2 linked regions of the Tamandua tetradactyla genome follow. The main gene of each other region encodes a partner of the protein of the gene in region 2 in a complex. Links are inferred from orthologs where the notes say so. Each region holds a gene or a part of one and is shown on either strand. Other genes may lie near its edges. The genes, in order: ARL6 and BBS7.

The links.
Region 1: the proteins of BBS7 (region 2) and ARL6 are in contact, whole or in part, in a cryo-EM structure (PDB 6VBV), measured with the Bos taurus proteins. The link is inferred for Tamandua tetradactyla from reciprocal best matches to the Homo sapiens genes BBS7 and ARL6. Residues at the interface, in NP_001178275.2 of Bos taurus: Leu3, Ile249, Val250, Gly251, Asp300, Gly301, Tyr302, Asp303, Thr319, Glu320, Pro321, His323, Lys324, Glu325, Ser326, Gly327, Pro328; in NP_001069250.1 of Bos taurus: Met132, Asp133, Arg135, Thr139, Ser140, Val141, Ser144, Trp157, His158, Ile159, Cys160, Ala161, Asp163, Lys166.

What each region holds. Positions count from the first base shown.
Region 1 is NC_135336.1:52,249,220-52,257,148, forward strand, and holds the start of ARL6 (ADP-ribosylation factor-like protein 6), read right to left. Parts: upstream 3,261-7,929; 5' UTR 2,733-3,260; intron 1-2,732. UniProt on the Homo sapiens protein: Involved in membrane protein trafficking at the base of the ciliary organelle. Mediates recruitment onto plasma membrane of the BBSome complex which would constitute a coat complex required for sorting of specific membrane proteins to the primary cilia.
Region 2 is NC_135348.1:46,866,949-46,875,183, reverse strand, and holds the start of BBS7 (BBSome complex member BBS7), read right to left. Parts: upstream 3,197-8,235; 5' UTR 3,098-3,196; coding exon 3,062-3,097; intron 1,746-3,061; exon of another isoform or gene 304-1,745; intron 1-303.

The sequences.
Region 1 (7,929 bases), on a different chromosome or scaffold from region 2:
AGTTAGACTGCAACCTTTTTGGAAAATCTGCAGTGATGTATGGGCAATGGCGTTCAAGGAGAGCTTCATGATGACGCCTAGAGAGCAGAAGATAGACCAGAAAACCTGGGAAACTTGGATTTTGGCTATATCATTTGAGCCACTGACTAAATCTTTCCCTAAATCTAGCCCTACTGTTACATTTTGCAATAATATGAAGTAACAGATTTACGTTTTTTTTGTTTGCTTACTTATATCCAGTTTGAGTTGGGTTTTCTATAAATAAAGACAAAGAAACCTAACTGACATATTTATCCTTATTTTCCTTTAACATATAGTCTTTGTAAGTCACTACAAATCCATTTGGAAAACAATTTATGGATAAATACACATATACACATAATTTTATTAGTGTTTACTAAATGTTTTCTTAACTATAATTTATCTGAAACACCCTATTAAGTATTATTTTAAAAGAACTTTGATTACTTATCATATTACATCTCTCAAGTACTTTGAAGTTTCTTTGTTAACTTGTCCCTGAAGTATTCATTTGTATGTGTACCAATTCTTTAGAAAAAAAAAATCCTGACAATGCATACTTCAAAAAATTCCATCAGCAACCCAAAGACAGATGTATTCTGAAGTTAAATAAATCTGTTGCTGACATACTGCTTGCTCTTTATAGTAACTTTGTGTTTGTTCATATACTTCTAAGGAACTGTTAACCTAGACTTCAGGTTTCTAAAGAAATTTCAAAGGAGCTCTTGTTGGGCCTATCACCCAAAAACCTCACTATCTGGTGCGACAAGAGAGATATCTCTTTGCCAGATTTCAACTATTTCAGGGAATGCTACAGAATAATCGCAGTACACCTGTGTTCCAAATATTTCTAGTTACTTTTCAAATGATCATTTTCAAAGTTAACTAAAAATTAATACCACCAGTTGATTTATTTTTATCTTCAGTTAAGGTCCAGTACGCCCATCATCTTACAACTCCTGCAATATTTTTATTCTACACCATCCCAGGCAAGCACTCTTGCAGGATGTGAAACTGCAGCAACTTAACCAGTAAGACACTTGCAAGATAACTGCATCTGAAAGGAGGCTGCACAATCAACATTTTGCTAAGGCCCACTGGGAGATCACTATGGATAAAAATTTCAAAAATTAATTTCAATCACACTCAGAAAACAGAAAGAGCAGTGCTCCACTCAAGTGTGGGGCCTAGGAGAGCAGCTCCAGTTGGTTTACCCAAGGGATGAGTATGATCTCAAGTACTTCCAATTTTGTCATTTAAAAAAATTTATCTCCTTATGCTGGGGATTAAAAAATTAATCCATTTCTTTATTTCTCATTTTAAGCTTTGTCATTTGTAGAATCTGTTTAAACAGACTTCTGATATGAAACAATTCACTCAGACTATCTTAACTCAAAATAACTTTGTTATTGCTCACTTCATTATTGTAAGACATTTTGATATGCATGCTTATATCCTGTCTTCCACTTTCCACAAACTTCTGAATAGATTTTTAAAATATTACAATTTCTTACATTTCTCCCTTCCCCCTTGCATCTACTATAAAGTATATTTTGTCAAAAACCTGAGGTTTTTTATAGCATCTTTTATTGTGCCTTTCTTTCCCCTCTCCATGGATTGTCAAACACCTGATTCTTGCTATTGAAACGTTTTGGACAAACCATTTAAAAAAGAAATCAAGTGTTCTAAAATAAAATTACCTTTATTGAAGTTGCTTTATACACAAGTACACAGCCCTATAAATGTTTCTATTTTTTAGTAGTTATAATTTTCCTTGAATAAGTTTAGTTCTGATGCATGAAAAATGGAAATAAAAGATAAGTCAAGCCACTCAACACGTATTTATAATGTCTTAGTGCACAATAGAGGATACAACAGAGTCTTCTGTGGCTACCTACTCTTGTAGCCATGATATTCAACCCTAGGTGCATATTGCAACCATCTGCTGAATCAGAATCTCCAAGTATTGGACCATGGCATCTGAATTTTAAAAAGCATCTGAAGTGCAGTCACTGTTGAGAAGGACTGGTTTTCAGGAAAAAAAAAAAATCCCAACTTCCATGCACAGCTTTCAAGGTTGTTCACAATCTGGCTCCAATCTACTTTTCCAATTTATATCTTACATTCCCCTCTCTCTACAGACTAGCCTGTAAAATTCTCTTGGTAGTACCGTGAGGAACTGTTTCTTAAGATTGTATGTACCAAAAAAGTCCAGAAGAATTAGAATGTTATCCACAGTTAATGGGATGGAAGGTAAGAGATGCAGAGAGATAGTGGTCCCGTAGAGAAAACTTTACAAAGTGACACTTTTAAAACATTTGTTTAGTGCATTATTGCGCATCCTTATTACACCGAATACACATCTTTATTCGGCTTTCAGTTTTTTATAATAACGTTTTAATTACACCTTCCACACACCAAAATAAAGCACAAGTTGGACAGTATTAAAACCAACCATACAAAATTCCCCAAATCAGCCCAATAAATTTTCTAGGGTCCCGAGTATTCGCTTCAAAAGCCCACTTCTTTTCCACCTCTCACACAAAAGAAACAACTAATAAGCCCATTGCCGTGGGAAAGGGCAATTCTAAAACGGCCTGGGGTGGGGCAGCGCAGGTTGGGAAGAACTGAGGAGGGGGAGAGATACCGGGTCTCTTAGGTTAAGCCTGAGAGCCCAGGAGCAGGTGAGGAACAGGGGTAGGCGCACTCACCTGTATCGGTCTCTGGTGGGAATTCGGCCCAGGGTTCTCTCAGCCTTCCTCTCTAAGTCCCCACAGAAAGGACGTCTGATCCAAAACGAAGCCGCCTCTAGGAGCTGGGTGAAACGGTACTCCTAGCCGTAGTCTTAATCTCAGCCTCAACCTCGGCCTCGGCCTCAACTGGAGCATCAGGGCTAGGGCCGGCGCCTACGCGCTGGGCGTTCCCTTGGCAACAGCGGCTTCTTCCGGTCCCGAAGCTCCGCCTCCTCGGGTGTGTTAGGCGATCTCCGCTTTGCTTTGGGTTCTCGGACTGAAGAGCTCCCGAAGGAGGCTAAAAGCAGGCCTATGAATTCTATTAAAGAAGGTCTGAGCACAGATGGTTGGATGAACTGTCACAGACCCTTGAGTGGGCGGGCGTGTAATCCCCGGGGGAGGATGATGGGAGTCGTAGGCGCGCGCACAGCCTGCTGGGATGCGATCCTGCCGCTGACGCCTGGCTTCTGGTTCGCCGCTTCGCTTGTGTGTCTCGGTTCTGGTGTCCTGGAGCCTCTAGGCGATGTCAGCCCCCAGAGCTGGGCGCTCGGAGGTGGGGCAGGGGCGGGGTGTGCCCTGGGATCGCGGAGGAGTCTGTGCGTCATTCCCGGGAACAACACGGCTGTGTCCATTGGGCAAGATGTGCGCTGGGATTGCCCTGTACGTTGCACAGACCCTCCAGCTGCCACTTGATGGGTTGCATGGAGGAGTCCTGACTGTGCCAGGCCTCCGAGTCAGGAGTCTTCAGAAGTAAAGCTGTGAATATAGGTACAGATAGGAGATAAACTGGTGTAAAAGGTCAAAGGCATTGTTGGTACAGTGGAAGTAAGCCTTTACCCCTGTTTCGTAACTTTCTGGTCTCCGAAAGAGATTTCCTCGAGGTGTAATCTTTAATTAGGTTACAGGCCCCAGAATTAAATCGGCAGGTGGTTAGGAAAGGAATTAATCTGAATGCTTAAAATTAGCCACCTTCTTCAATTGTACTGGGATTTTATAATAAATGATCTTCAAAGTAAATATAAAATATTGTCAGACTTTTAAAAACGCTTTAAAAAATATACTTTCCAGCAGACAGACCACAGATACAGTGATTTTTAAATCTCTGTTTTTCAGTTGTTCAATCTGCCCTGCCTCACTAGCTTCATCTTTAGTAAATGGCTTTCATGACTTAAATTTCCCTTAAGAAGAATTTTCATCTCTTATTCCCCTTGTTTGCCATGGATGCGGTCATTTTTCCCCTTCTTATTAGCTAGTGCTGTTTAATACCTATCTGCTCTTTGGCCTATGAATATGACTTATTAACTGGATTAGGAGGATGAAAAGGATATTAGGAATTGCACCAAAATAATGATGAGGTGGGTGAAGGTTGAACATGTATGATTGTGAAGTGCTTTTTGTTACTTTTTCAAATTTTTCAAATGTGGTTATGATATTTTTACAATTAAAGAAGTGGTTGCAAGATAGAAATCGTTCAAACACAAAAAATTTAAAAAGTCAAAACTAAACGAATTTGTAGTTGTATTTGCAAAAGTACTGGCTTACAAATGTTCTTGTAAAAAATGGAGTATGGAAATATATTCTTCCTGAGGCCTTGGGCCAATTTAACCCTTCTTTTTGTTTGGCTTCTTCACCGTCAAAAAAGATGATATAGATCTCATCTGCTTGTTTTGAAGATTAAGTGGACCATAGGGGTATAAATCTTTGACACATAGTAGGTGTGCAATAAAATAATTTCTCATCTTCCTTTGTCTTGAAATTTTTATTACATGGAACCTCTAAATTTGACCTAATCCTTAAATGTGTTTCTTTGACTTCTGACCCCAAAAGACATTTACAGGAGGTGTTAATCATTTTTCTGTACAATGTCTGTGGGCCTTAAAACTCATTTTGTTAAGAGTTGTAAACAAATTTGCTTACAGTCAGAATATGACATTTTCCCCCTGCTTATAACATAAGCAGATATCCTATGTTCCAGAAAACTTTTGGGGACAGAGTTAATTTATTTCTTTTGAGAGTTGATATTTTTTGCCCATTGGTGAATTGTTTTGCTTACTAGTGAAAACTGGAAATATTATGATGGGGTAGATTAGGCATCCAACTCTTCAGTTAACGTAAGCCGATAACATAGGGTTTAAAAAAAATTAGCTGAACAAATTTTAGTCTTAGATACATATAATTGGTGTGATGACTTTTAACATTATTATTAGAGATGAGATAGTGGTCATGAAACGCAATTTATTTCTAGTTTTCTAGAAAATGGCAGCTTTTAAAGCATACCTTAAAAATCTTAAATATTTCATATGGTCAAATCTTCTGGTTTGGTGTTTTGTCCACTGAAACTTCCCTCAAAAGTACACTCAGAGGCTCTGCATAAAAATTGTTCCACCTGATTTAAGAAGTTAGTTAGGTTCTGTTCATTTTATTAGGAGAATAATAAGTTTTACAAAAGCTACTTAAAATACCCGAGGAAGAGAAGAGAGTTTCAGGTACCTTATTACGAGTTTTAATTCATACAGGCTTTTGGAGCTGTGGTGGAAGAATTATGAAAGAGATGAATGAGATACAATGAACATAGTGCTCTTCTGATTAATCCAAGATGCTTTTTTCTGTAGTCTCTTATGGTCATCCATTAACTTTTATAAGAATATAGAAAACCCAGGATTTACAATTTATTGGAATATTTTTGAATGACATTGATAGTTTAAAGCTGTGTCTGAATATCTGGATGCTATTCATCTTTTTTTGATCATCTGCATTTTGTGTACTGTATTATAACCTCTGCAGTGAACAATTTAATTCACTTAAATATCATAAAATATTTTGCCAATATAAAATCCCTAAAAAAAATGTTGTATCAGTTATTTATAGTGATTTATATGGATTGTTGGTCACAATGTGGATGTGTCATAAGCAGTGCATTTAAAATTCCATAGTATGCCCAAGAATAAAATGCAAAACTCTTGACCTTAATGACATTATTATGAAAAATAACAACTGTGAGTTTATATCCAGAATTACTAGTGTCTAAAGAGCATCTCAATTTAATAGACTAAAAAATAAATTACATTAAATACATATCAATAGAGCATTATAAAAAAATCACAAATTCATCCACCAGAACTGTAACTTTTATTTGCTAATAGATATTTTAATAAACATGTTTACTTCAGCTGTAAGACCCTGATAATGCTTCTTATGAAATCATAGAAAAATAAAATAACAATAATTAGTAATTTGTACTTTGTACAAAAATTTTATTATGTTGCTCAGCAGGTAGTTTTGCTAAACACCATATTCTGCAAATAGATGACATATGTAATGCAATTCACCATAAGCAATCCTTCATGTTGAGAGCTGAGCATTCTATAACACTATTAACTTGTAAGCATGCCAGCACATGAAAATTTACATGGAACATCATAATATTATTGTAAATTTTTATAAGATGAGAATAATACCACCTTCAACTAAATCTGGACTACTTCACTGCTATAGTAAAGTAGGTGATAGGTAGATTGCAGTTCAGTGGTGAACACTCTTACACTGTGTTTCTCTACCTTTTTGTGATTATAACCAGAAAAGAGAACAAAGGCTGTGTAAGGATCCTGAGTGAAAGACATATATTGAAGTTCTAAATGGTGATATAATGCCATAGAGAAAAAATACATAGATCTGCACTTCCTTATTCTCCCAAATTGAGATCTTTTCCCCTCTTGCAAGAGTACAGTGCTAAAATCCATAATTAATATAAACGGCTTCATGGCAAATTATACAGAGGTACATTTTTTATCATACACTTATAGAAAGGAAAAATATTTTCAGCTGCAGTGCAGTTTTTCATTAGTCAAATATAACTGAGGGATTCAATGTCTCAACCTAGACACACGTTATCTAGGTATTTTTATATAATGTGCTCTTTCATATTAATAAGCTTAGGATTTGTGCTACAAATATTTTTGTAACTATTATCTTGAATACACTGCAACTGTATATGTCATCTACCATTTAAAATTTGACATGGCCATTTAAATATCTAAAGTGTTTAATCAAATACATATTTATATGTACACATACATCTTTATATTTTATGGCCATGCTAGAACAGCGGAAAAGTGGAGAGCAAATCTTAGTCCATTATTCACAGTCTAATTTCACATCAAATCCAAAAGAAAATTGCATCATTCAATGCCAACACATTGAGTTAACACCTCTCTAAGCACCAAGCACAACCTAAAGGACCAGATCCTTCCTATAGGTTAGGGAAGGGCACAATGAACAAAACAACCATATTGTTTAAATAAGAGAATGTACTGATCTTTTTCATATGACAGCAAAGCAAAAGAACTGTTTTACTAAATGAGTAGAACCTGTTTTTTTTTTTAATTCATATGGAGGCTCAAACACCTTCAAAATAGTGTTTTGAGAAAAACTGACAGCTTGAACATGTAATAGACATCTTTCAGGATTAAACAAATTTTAATTTTCAGACGCTCTGAATTATGACAGAATAATTACAAAATGTTTCTTTTTCCCCTACAATATGCAAAATCAAATAAAAGAAATTGAGAAGTATCAATGGCATTGAGATGTCCTCACCAAATTTGTATATTATGGAAAAGAGGACTCTTGTCAATGTTCTTGGAAAGCACAGAATTCAGTTTCAGGTGTTCCAAATTAAGATGTCTCAGAAATATTTACTAAACGTGTCTTAAAACATTTTTTCACAATAGATTTTTCCCTTATAGCATATTATATATGTATATATACATATGTGTGTGCATACATCCACTTTCCCATTTTCCAACTATTTATACCTCTCCTCCAACTTGTACTCTCTTTCCACCTCCCAAACTGGTTTTATCTACTGCTGAAATATAGCTACTCGCATAGTAATACCCTTCTCTACCACAAATAGCTACTTGCATAGTAATACCCTCTCTACCACAAATCTACTAACCTATTTGCATATTCTACATTGCCTTCCTTTCCATTGGAGTTCTGTGGGGTTCTATGTCCATTCTATTTAAAACTAACCTCTCTACTTGTGCTCTGAATCCAAACCTCTCTGCTTCTCAAGCCCTTCGCTATTATAATTATGCTTTCTATCGCATAATGTTATCCCTTCTCTATGGGATCATTCTCATTAGTATATAATTATGCCTTAGTATCCTTTATC
Region 2 (8,235 bases):
TATGAAAGTAAAAGGACAACCTACAGAACGGGAGAAAGCATTTGGAACCAGCATATTCCATAAGGGGTTAATATCCAGAATATATAAACTCTTACAACTCAACAGCCAAAAGACAAACAACCCAATTTTAAAAATAGGTCTGTTCTAGTTTGCTAGCTGCCAGAATGCAATAAACCAGAAATGGAATGGCTTTCAAAAGGGGAATTTAATAAGTTGCTAGTTTACAGTTCTAAGGCCGAAAAAATGTCCCAATTAAAACAAGTCTATAGAAATGTCCAATCTAAGGCATCCAGGGAAAGATACCTTGGTTCAAGAAGGTCAATGAAGCTCAGGGTCTCTCTCTCAAGTGAGAAGGCACATGGTGAACACAGTCAGGGTTTCTCTCTCATCTGGAAAGGCACATGAACACAGTGTCATCTGCTAGCTTTCTCTCCTGGCTTCTGGTTTCATGAAGCTCCCCAGGAGGCGTTTTCCTTCTTCATTTCCAAAGGTTCCTGGCTGGTGGACTCTGCTTCATGGTGCTGCAGAATTCTCTGTTCCCTCTGAATCTCTCATTCTCCACAATGTTTCCTCTTTTGCAGGACTCCATTAAACTAATCAAGACCCACTCAAATGGGTGGAGACATGTCTCCACCTAATCCAGTTTAACAACCACTCTTGATTGAGTCACATCTCCACGGAGATGATCTAATTACAGTTTCAAGCATACAGTATTGAATAGGGATTAGAAGAAATGGCTGCCTTTACAAAATGAGATTAGAATTAAAGCATGGCTTTTCTAGGGTACACACAACCTTTCAAAACGGCACAGGGTCAAAGACTCAAATTTCTCCAACAATACACACACAAAAAAAAACACATGAAAAGATGCTAGACATCATTAGCCATTTGGGAAAAGTAAATCAAAACCACAGATACCATTTCACACCCACTAAAATGGTTACTACTGAAAACCAGAAAATAGCAAGTTTGTAGGAGAAAACGTGGAGAAACAGGAACACTGCTGGTGGGAACGTAAAATGAAGTACCTCCCATGGAACACAGTGTGGTGGCTCCTCAGAAAGTTAAGCACAGAATTACCATCTAACCTGGCAATCCCACTTTAGGCATACACCCAAAGGAAATGAAAGCAGGGATTCAAATAATGTTTCACATCAGCATTCATAGGGACATTATCCACAACTGCCAAAAGGTAGACACAAACCAAGTGTCCTTCAACAGATAAACAGATAATCAAAATGGGGTGCATACATACAACGGAGTATTATTCAATCCTAAAAAGGAACAAAATTGTGACATATGCTAACAACATGGATGAACCCTGAAGACAGCAGGTAAAATAAGTCAGCACAAAAAGGACAAATATTGTTTGACCTCACTTATACAAGATAATTAGAATATGCAAATGCATAATCAGAAACTAGAATACAATGTGCTTCACCAATTGTAATAACGGTAATACTAACACGAAATGTAAACAGGGAAAACTGAGTGTGAGGACTGGATACATGAGAACTCCACTTTCTTCATGGTTTTCCTGGAAACCTACAACTTCTCTAATTAATAAAAACAAAAAAATGCCATTATTTTTAGCTATTAAGCAAGTTACTTCCTTTCTCTGAGTCCCTGGATTGTCATATACGTTCTACTTCGAAGGCTTTTTATTAGGATTAAACGTATATTAAATTCTTAGACTGAATTAGATGCTCAATAAAGGGCTGCCATTGCTTTTATCATGGTCTGGCTGGTGCAGTCAAGCTCAGTCTAAAGTAATAGTTTCTGGGAGAAGGGACGGATATAAATGGAGATTTGGGCGTTTGCGGTGCAAGGTGGCTGCACCAGGGAAAGGGGGGGACAGGGCCCAGGTGCAGTCCGGGTCGGGGCCCGTCACACGTCCAGGGCACGTCTGGGCAGGTGCAGTCCGGGTGGGGGCCCGTCACACGTCCAGGGCACGTCTGGGCAGGTGCAGTCCAGGTGGGGGCCCGTCACACGTCCAGGGCACGTCTGGGCAGGTGCAGTCCGGGTGGGGGCCCGTCACAGGTCCAGGGCACGTGTGGGCAGGTGCAGTCCGGGTCGGGGCCTGTCACACGTCCAGGAGCACCCCCGGCTCCAGGCAGGTGCAGTCCAGGTGGGGGCCCGTCACACGTCCAGGGCACGTGTGGGCAGGTGCAGTCCGGGTGGGGGCCCATCAGACGTCCAGGGCACGTCTGGGCAGGTGCAGTCCGGGTCGGGGTCCGTCAGACGTCCAGGGCACGTCTGGGCAGGTGCAGTCCGGGTCAGGGCTTGTCACACGTCCAGGGCATGTGTGGGCAGGTGCAGTCCGGGTCGGGGCCCGTCACACGTCCAGGGCACGTGTGGGCAGGTGCAGTCCGGGTCGGGGCCCGTCACACGTCCAGGGCACGTCTGGGCAGGTGCAGTCTGGGTCAGGGCTTGTCACACGTCCAGGGCATGTGTGGGCAGGTGCAGTCCGGGTCGGGGCCCGTCACAGGTCCAGGGCACGTGTGGGCAGGTGCAGTCCGGGTCGGGGCCCGTCACACGTCCAGGGCACGTCTGGGCAGGTGCAGTCCGGGTCGGGGCCCGTCACACGTCCAGGGCACGTCCGAGCAGGTGCAGTCCGGGTCGGGGCCCGTCACACGTCCAGGGCACGTCCGGGCAGGTGCAGTCCGGGTCGGGGCCCGTCACACGTCCAGGGCACGTGTGGGCAGGTGCAGTCCGGGTCGGGGCCCGTCACACGTCCAGGGCACGTGTGGGCAGGTGCAGTCCGGGTCGGGGCCCGTCACACGTCCAGGGCACGTGTGGGCAGGTGCAGTCCGGTGGGGGCCCGTCACACGTCCAGGAGCACCCCCGGCTCCGGGCAGGTGCAGTCCGGTTCGGGGCCCGACACACGTCCCCGGCCCTGGACAGGCGCCTGCCCGCCCCGCCGGAGCCCGCCGCGTCCCTCACGTCCTCACCGGGCGTCCAGGAGGGCGGCGCCCACCTGGCCCCCGACCACTCCCGTGAAGGAAGGGCCGCTCGGGGAGAGGCCCACCCAGCGCGGCGCCCGCCCGCCCCGCGGACATACCTGCAAATAGTCAGTCCGGTTCAGGCTGAGATCCATGGCGCGGGGTCGCAGCCCAGGACCGCCCTGGACCGCGCCTCAGCCCCGCGCAGACGCCCCCGCGGCCCTCGACCCGCAACCCCAGAGGCGGCGACGGGAGCGCTGGGGTGGCGTCAGCGCAGCGGCGGCGTGACGTCAGCACGCTCACCCGCGGGGCCCTGGGCGCATGTACAGCCCGCCCTCCGCCCTCCCAACGGCCCGCCCACGGCTTAGCCTGCTCCAATCAGAGGCGGAGAGGAACGTGAGGCGGGTCCTGGAGACCGCGAGGGCGGTTTCCATGGAGACAGGGAACGCCTCCTAGCTGCGCAGTCCCGGCTGTCGGAGTGGGACCGCTCCTGGGGCGAGGCCAGCATGGATTCCGACCCGTTGCATCTGACACGGGAACGGATCCCCGCGAGAGTCAGGCTCCACCTGCACAGCCGTTAATTTCCAGCCGTGCCCCAGCTCTTAGCCTTAACCCCTTTAGAAAACTCTTGAGTTGAGGACCACGGAGAGCTTTGGTTATGTGAGTTTCTGATATTTGCCATTTTAGAAATTAGAACTAAAATTTCAAAAACTAAATTTACTAAAAACACAATAAAATCCCATTACACAAATAACGTAGTTGAATTAAAAAGATATTTTCTAAAATTAAGAAGTTTTAAAAAGTGCTACTGTTTGCAAATCTATTTTACTATCTGCCTTAACAGAAGACAGTCGGAATCCCAATTCTGCTTCTGCACTCAATCTATTGCTAGAAATTGTTTTTGTTGAAGTATACGAAGAAAATTTTACCCAAATCCAACAAGTAGTAGGTTTTTTAAAGTGTCAGTTGCAGTGTAGAATGTGGCTTCTTTATTCAATATCAAAAATCCAATTTGTTAATATCACCGCAGGTCTCATCAGAAAGTCTTGCAGTATTAGAAAGCTGTCAAAATCAAATGATGGATACAGATTTTCCAAATTTCCAATTAGTACTTGAAAATCTGAATTTTAAGCATAGCCAACATGTTTGTTTTCCTTGAACTGATAGGCTCCCTTCTTGAATTCATGAGATGTATGCCAAATACCCAAGTCTGAAGAATCACAATTTGTCTGGCAGATGTCGTTTCACATAGTATTCAGTGAAAGAGGAGCAAGCTCAGGTAGCAAATCAAATAATGTCAATGTACTTTGGTATTCAGCAGAAGTCCTTTATGCATACCTTCCATATCATCACAATTTAAAAATATATACTCGAGTTGATATTTACAATAAACAATTATTCCTTCACAAAGGACTTTTTTGTTTACTTTTTTATTGTATAATATAACATATATACAAAGCAAAGAAAGAAAAAGCAGTAGTTTTCAAAGCACTGTTCAACAAGTAGACAGATCCCAGAGTCTGTCATGGGCTACCATATCATCATCTCAGATTTTTCCTTCTAGCTGCTCCAGAACACTGGAGGGACAAATATTTTTACCATCACAATCGACTTTTTTTCTTTTTTGTGAAATATAATCAATATACAAAAAAGCAATAAATTTCAAAGCACATTGCAACGATTAGTTGTAGAACAGATTTCACAATCTGGTGTGGGTTACAATTCCACAATTTTTGGCGTTTACTTCCAGCTGCTCTAAGGTACTAAGACTAAAAGAAATATCAATATAAGGATTCAGTGATCATCCTCATTTGTTAAACACAACCTTCTCTGTATAACTCTACCATCACCTTTGATCTTTCTCTCATTCTTTAGGGGTATTTGGATTATGCCTATTCTAACTTTTTCATGTTGGAAGGGGCTATCAGTAATATGGGGTAGTGAGATGGAACTAGCTGATGTTCTGGAGACGCTGGGCCCTCTAGGTTTCAAGACTTATCTTGTCTAGGGACCCATCTGGAGGTTGTAAGTTTCTGGAAAGTTACCCTAGTGCATGGAACCTTTGTAGAATCTTATATAATGCTCTAGGTGTTCTTTAGGCTTGGCTGGAATGGTTTTGGTTGGGGTTGGCAAGTTATGATAGGTAGTAATGTCTCATTGAAGTTTGCATAAGAGTGACCTCCAGAGTAGCCTCTCGACTCTATTTGAACTCTCTCAGCTACTGATACCTCATTTGTTACACTTCTTTTCCCCTGTTGGTCAGGATGGCATTATATATCTGATGGCGCCAGGGCCATCCCTGGGAGTCCTCTCCCATGCCGCCAGGGAGACTTTCACCCTTGGATGTCAGGTCCATGTAGGAGGGAGGGCAATGATTTCACTTACAGAGTTCGGCTTAGAAAGAGAGGGGTCACATCTGAGCAACAAGAGGTCCTCTGGAGGTAACTCTTAGACACACTTATAGGTAGGTTAAGCTTTTCCGCTACCTACATAAGCTTCACAAGAGGAAGCCTCAGGATCAAGGGTTTGGTCTATTGATTGGGGTATCCCTACAATCTAACACAGTATCAGGGGTTTCTCCAGTGATAAAGTTTAATAGTTCCATATTTTTTATCCCAGCCCTCAAGGTATTTTGTCAATATTTTTTGATTATCTGTTTAATATACTCTAGGATGTATCCAGGCATTACATTAAGCTATCTGGTCTCCCTGTGTTTTGATTGTTTAAATGAGCTATCCAGACAAGTAGTGTTAGATTATGTGCTACAGAAAATTTAGTTTCCAGGCAAAATAAATCTTTTTTCCACAAAGGACATTTTTATATGAGCCTTTTTTTTTTGTTTCCTACCAGTGTGTGGCATGATGACTCTAATGGCTGTTAGTACTGTATAGCTTAGAGTCCCTGCTCCCATTCAGGCACCAGCACTATTGCCTGCAATGCCTGCACAGTGCAAATGCAAGCCCAGTGAAAACATAAAGTTAGTCTTAGTATTATTTAGTTTCAAAATATCAAACTCCCTTGGCCTCAGCCTTCCCCACTCCCGCCCTGGGGTCAGCACACGGCTCTTTGGGAACCTCTGGCTTTCGTGACCTAAGAGCTGATATTCCCTTCGCTCACTTCTGTAGGTCCTTCTTTAGTGCTCACAGCGTTCTGCCTTGGACGTAGATAAGTACACTTCCTTTTCTGTCTCGTGTGGGCTATTAGGGGAGAGCTCAGTTCACAAATGATTGTGAAACAAGAAGAGTTAAAACCCTGAGAAGAGTGCTTTTTGGAAGATAAATTATTTCTTGCAGAAGAATAATCTGAAAAAGTTTTGCCTAAGTTCTAGTATATCCCAGACAATTCTTTTTTGAGGCTAAAATAACTCCATATTAAGGAAGGCAACAATATATGAAGATAGTATAGCTGTTTAGCAAGTTGGGAACAATATATATCAATTTTAAATGCCACAGAAATTACTTTAGTGATAAATTTTAGAAGTAAATTGCAACATGAAACCACAGAGGAGATAGGATAAAATATAATTGTATAGAATTATACAATTCTATACAATTTTTTACTAATTCATACCCATTAGTAAAAAAACACTGTGACTACAATAAACAAGTGAGTAAGAAACTAAACATAGTAGGCATTCTACTGTCCCAAAGATTGCAAAAAAGGGTTATGTCACAACCGTGGATACTAAATCCTCCCACTGTGTATTTCTTGTTTCCCTCCTCCCTGGCACTATGTTAACAATTTGAGGGAAATGGTACAGATATCATTATTGCTGTTTATGTGCAATAACAAGCCAACCATCAGAATGTTGAAAACCTGATAAGTGGGCAGAAATTCTTTTTTTTTAATGACCTTTGGGGAGTATGATGCATAGTCCAGGGATGGATAAGACTTTAGAAGCTTTCTAATCCAGTGCTATAATTGCACAAAGCCCTTAGGGATTTAAAATGTGTGTCGTTTTTTCATTGTACATGATAGAAAGGTAATTTTAAAGAAAAAAATTCACAATAAATTGCTATCTAATTAAGGTAGCATTATAAAATTCAACTTTATACAATCTCTACAATATTTACAATAAAAACAAATTGGTAAAGAATAGTTTCCATTTAACAAGTAAAGCTCACTCTTTATTTCACTTTAATCATGTAGAAAAAGTTTATTTTGAAGATCAAATTTATTTTAAAGCATTGAAATGAAAAAATGTCATGGCATTGAAAATTGACAGAAAAAGAGCTTGCAAAATAAAATATTCAGAGTTCTTTCATTCTGCATCCAAAAAAAAGGTAACTTATTATTTTAAAAGCTGTGTTTTGTCTCTGAATGATTAACAAAAGTTCGAACTATTATTTTTTAAACACTTCTCAACTAAGTCGCTAGCAGATATGAAGAGTTTTTATTCTAAATAAATAAATAAATTGCCACCATATTTTCCCTTTGTAAACATGTTTTGAGGTACTAAAAACCAGCAGATGATTGATTGTATCTCAGATGTGGTGAAGAGCACAGGCCTTCAGATCGGTTTGCAGGAGTATCATGCTCCTCGGTAACTCGTCCTTTTACCTTGTGGTGGTCAAGCAGCCATTATGGGCAACCACTAAGCAACTGATGATGAAGAACCAAAGCCATTTAAATTGCCTTCAAGTTAAACCGTAAATACGTCTAGCGGTGGTTTCCCGAGCGACTGAGTCCTGAAGACAAATTGCCCTTCACTAGTGTGCTCCCTTGGTAAAAATGTGGAAACTTACTTTTTTTAAAAGCAGAAAAACAGCCATTTTAGATTTATTTTTTAAAAAACTAAGGGGAGAAATGGAAAGCATGATCATGGTTGCTCCTTGGGCATCACACCCTGAAACGCTTCTACCCCCGACATCCGGAGCCCTGATGGCGTAAACCGGTTTTGGAAGAACAAGTCACTAAGATCCAGCCACACAATTAATCAACGTAGCTTCAGTTCTCCTGCTCAGTAAGACAATTTCCCTTCTCATTTACAAAAACTGCTTTCACTTGGCTTAGGGATTTGAAATAATATATTGGACATGATTGCATAAAAGAGCTATTCTTAAATGGTTCTCAAATTTATTTTAATAATCACAACATATTCATGTGATTTCTAACTTTTTATAGTGCACAGAACTGTTTGAAGATACTAGATCTTATTTTATATTGTTCCCTATTTTAGGTCTATAAATCCGAGCTTCTCTACATTGTGAACATAATGTCAAGTGTCTTCAGTAAATTTAATGCAGCAGGCACTTAGACAACGCTGAGCTTTCAATACAGTAAGCTTAAGAAA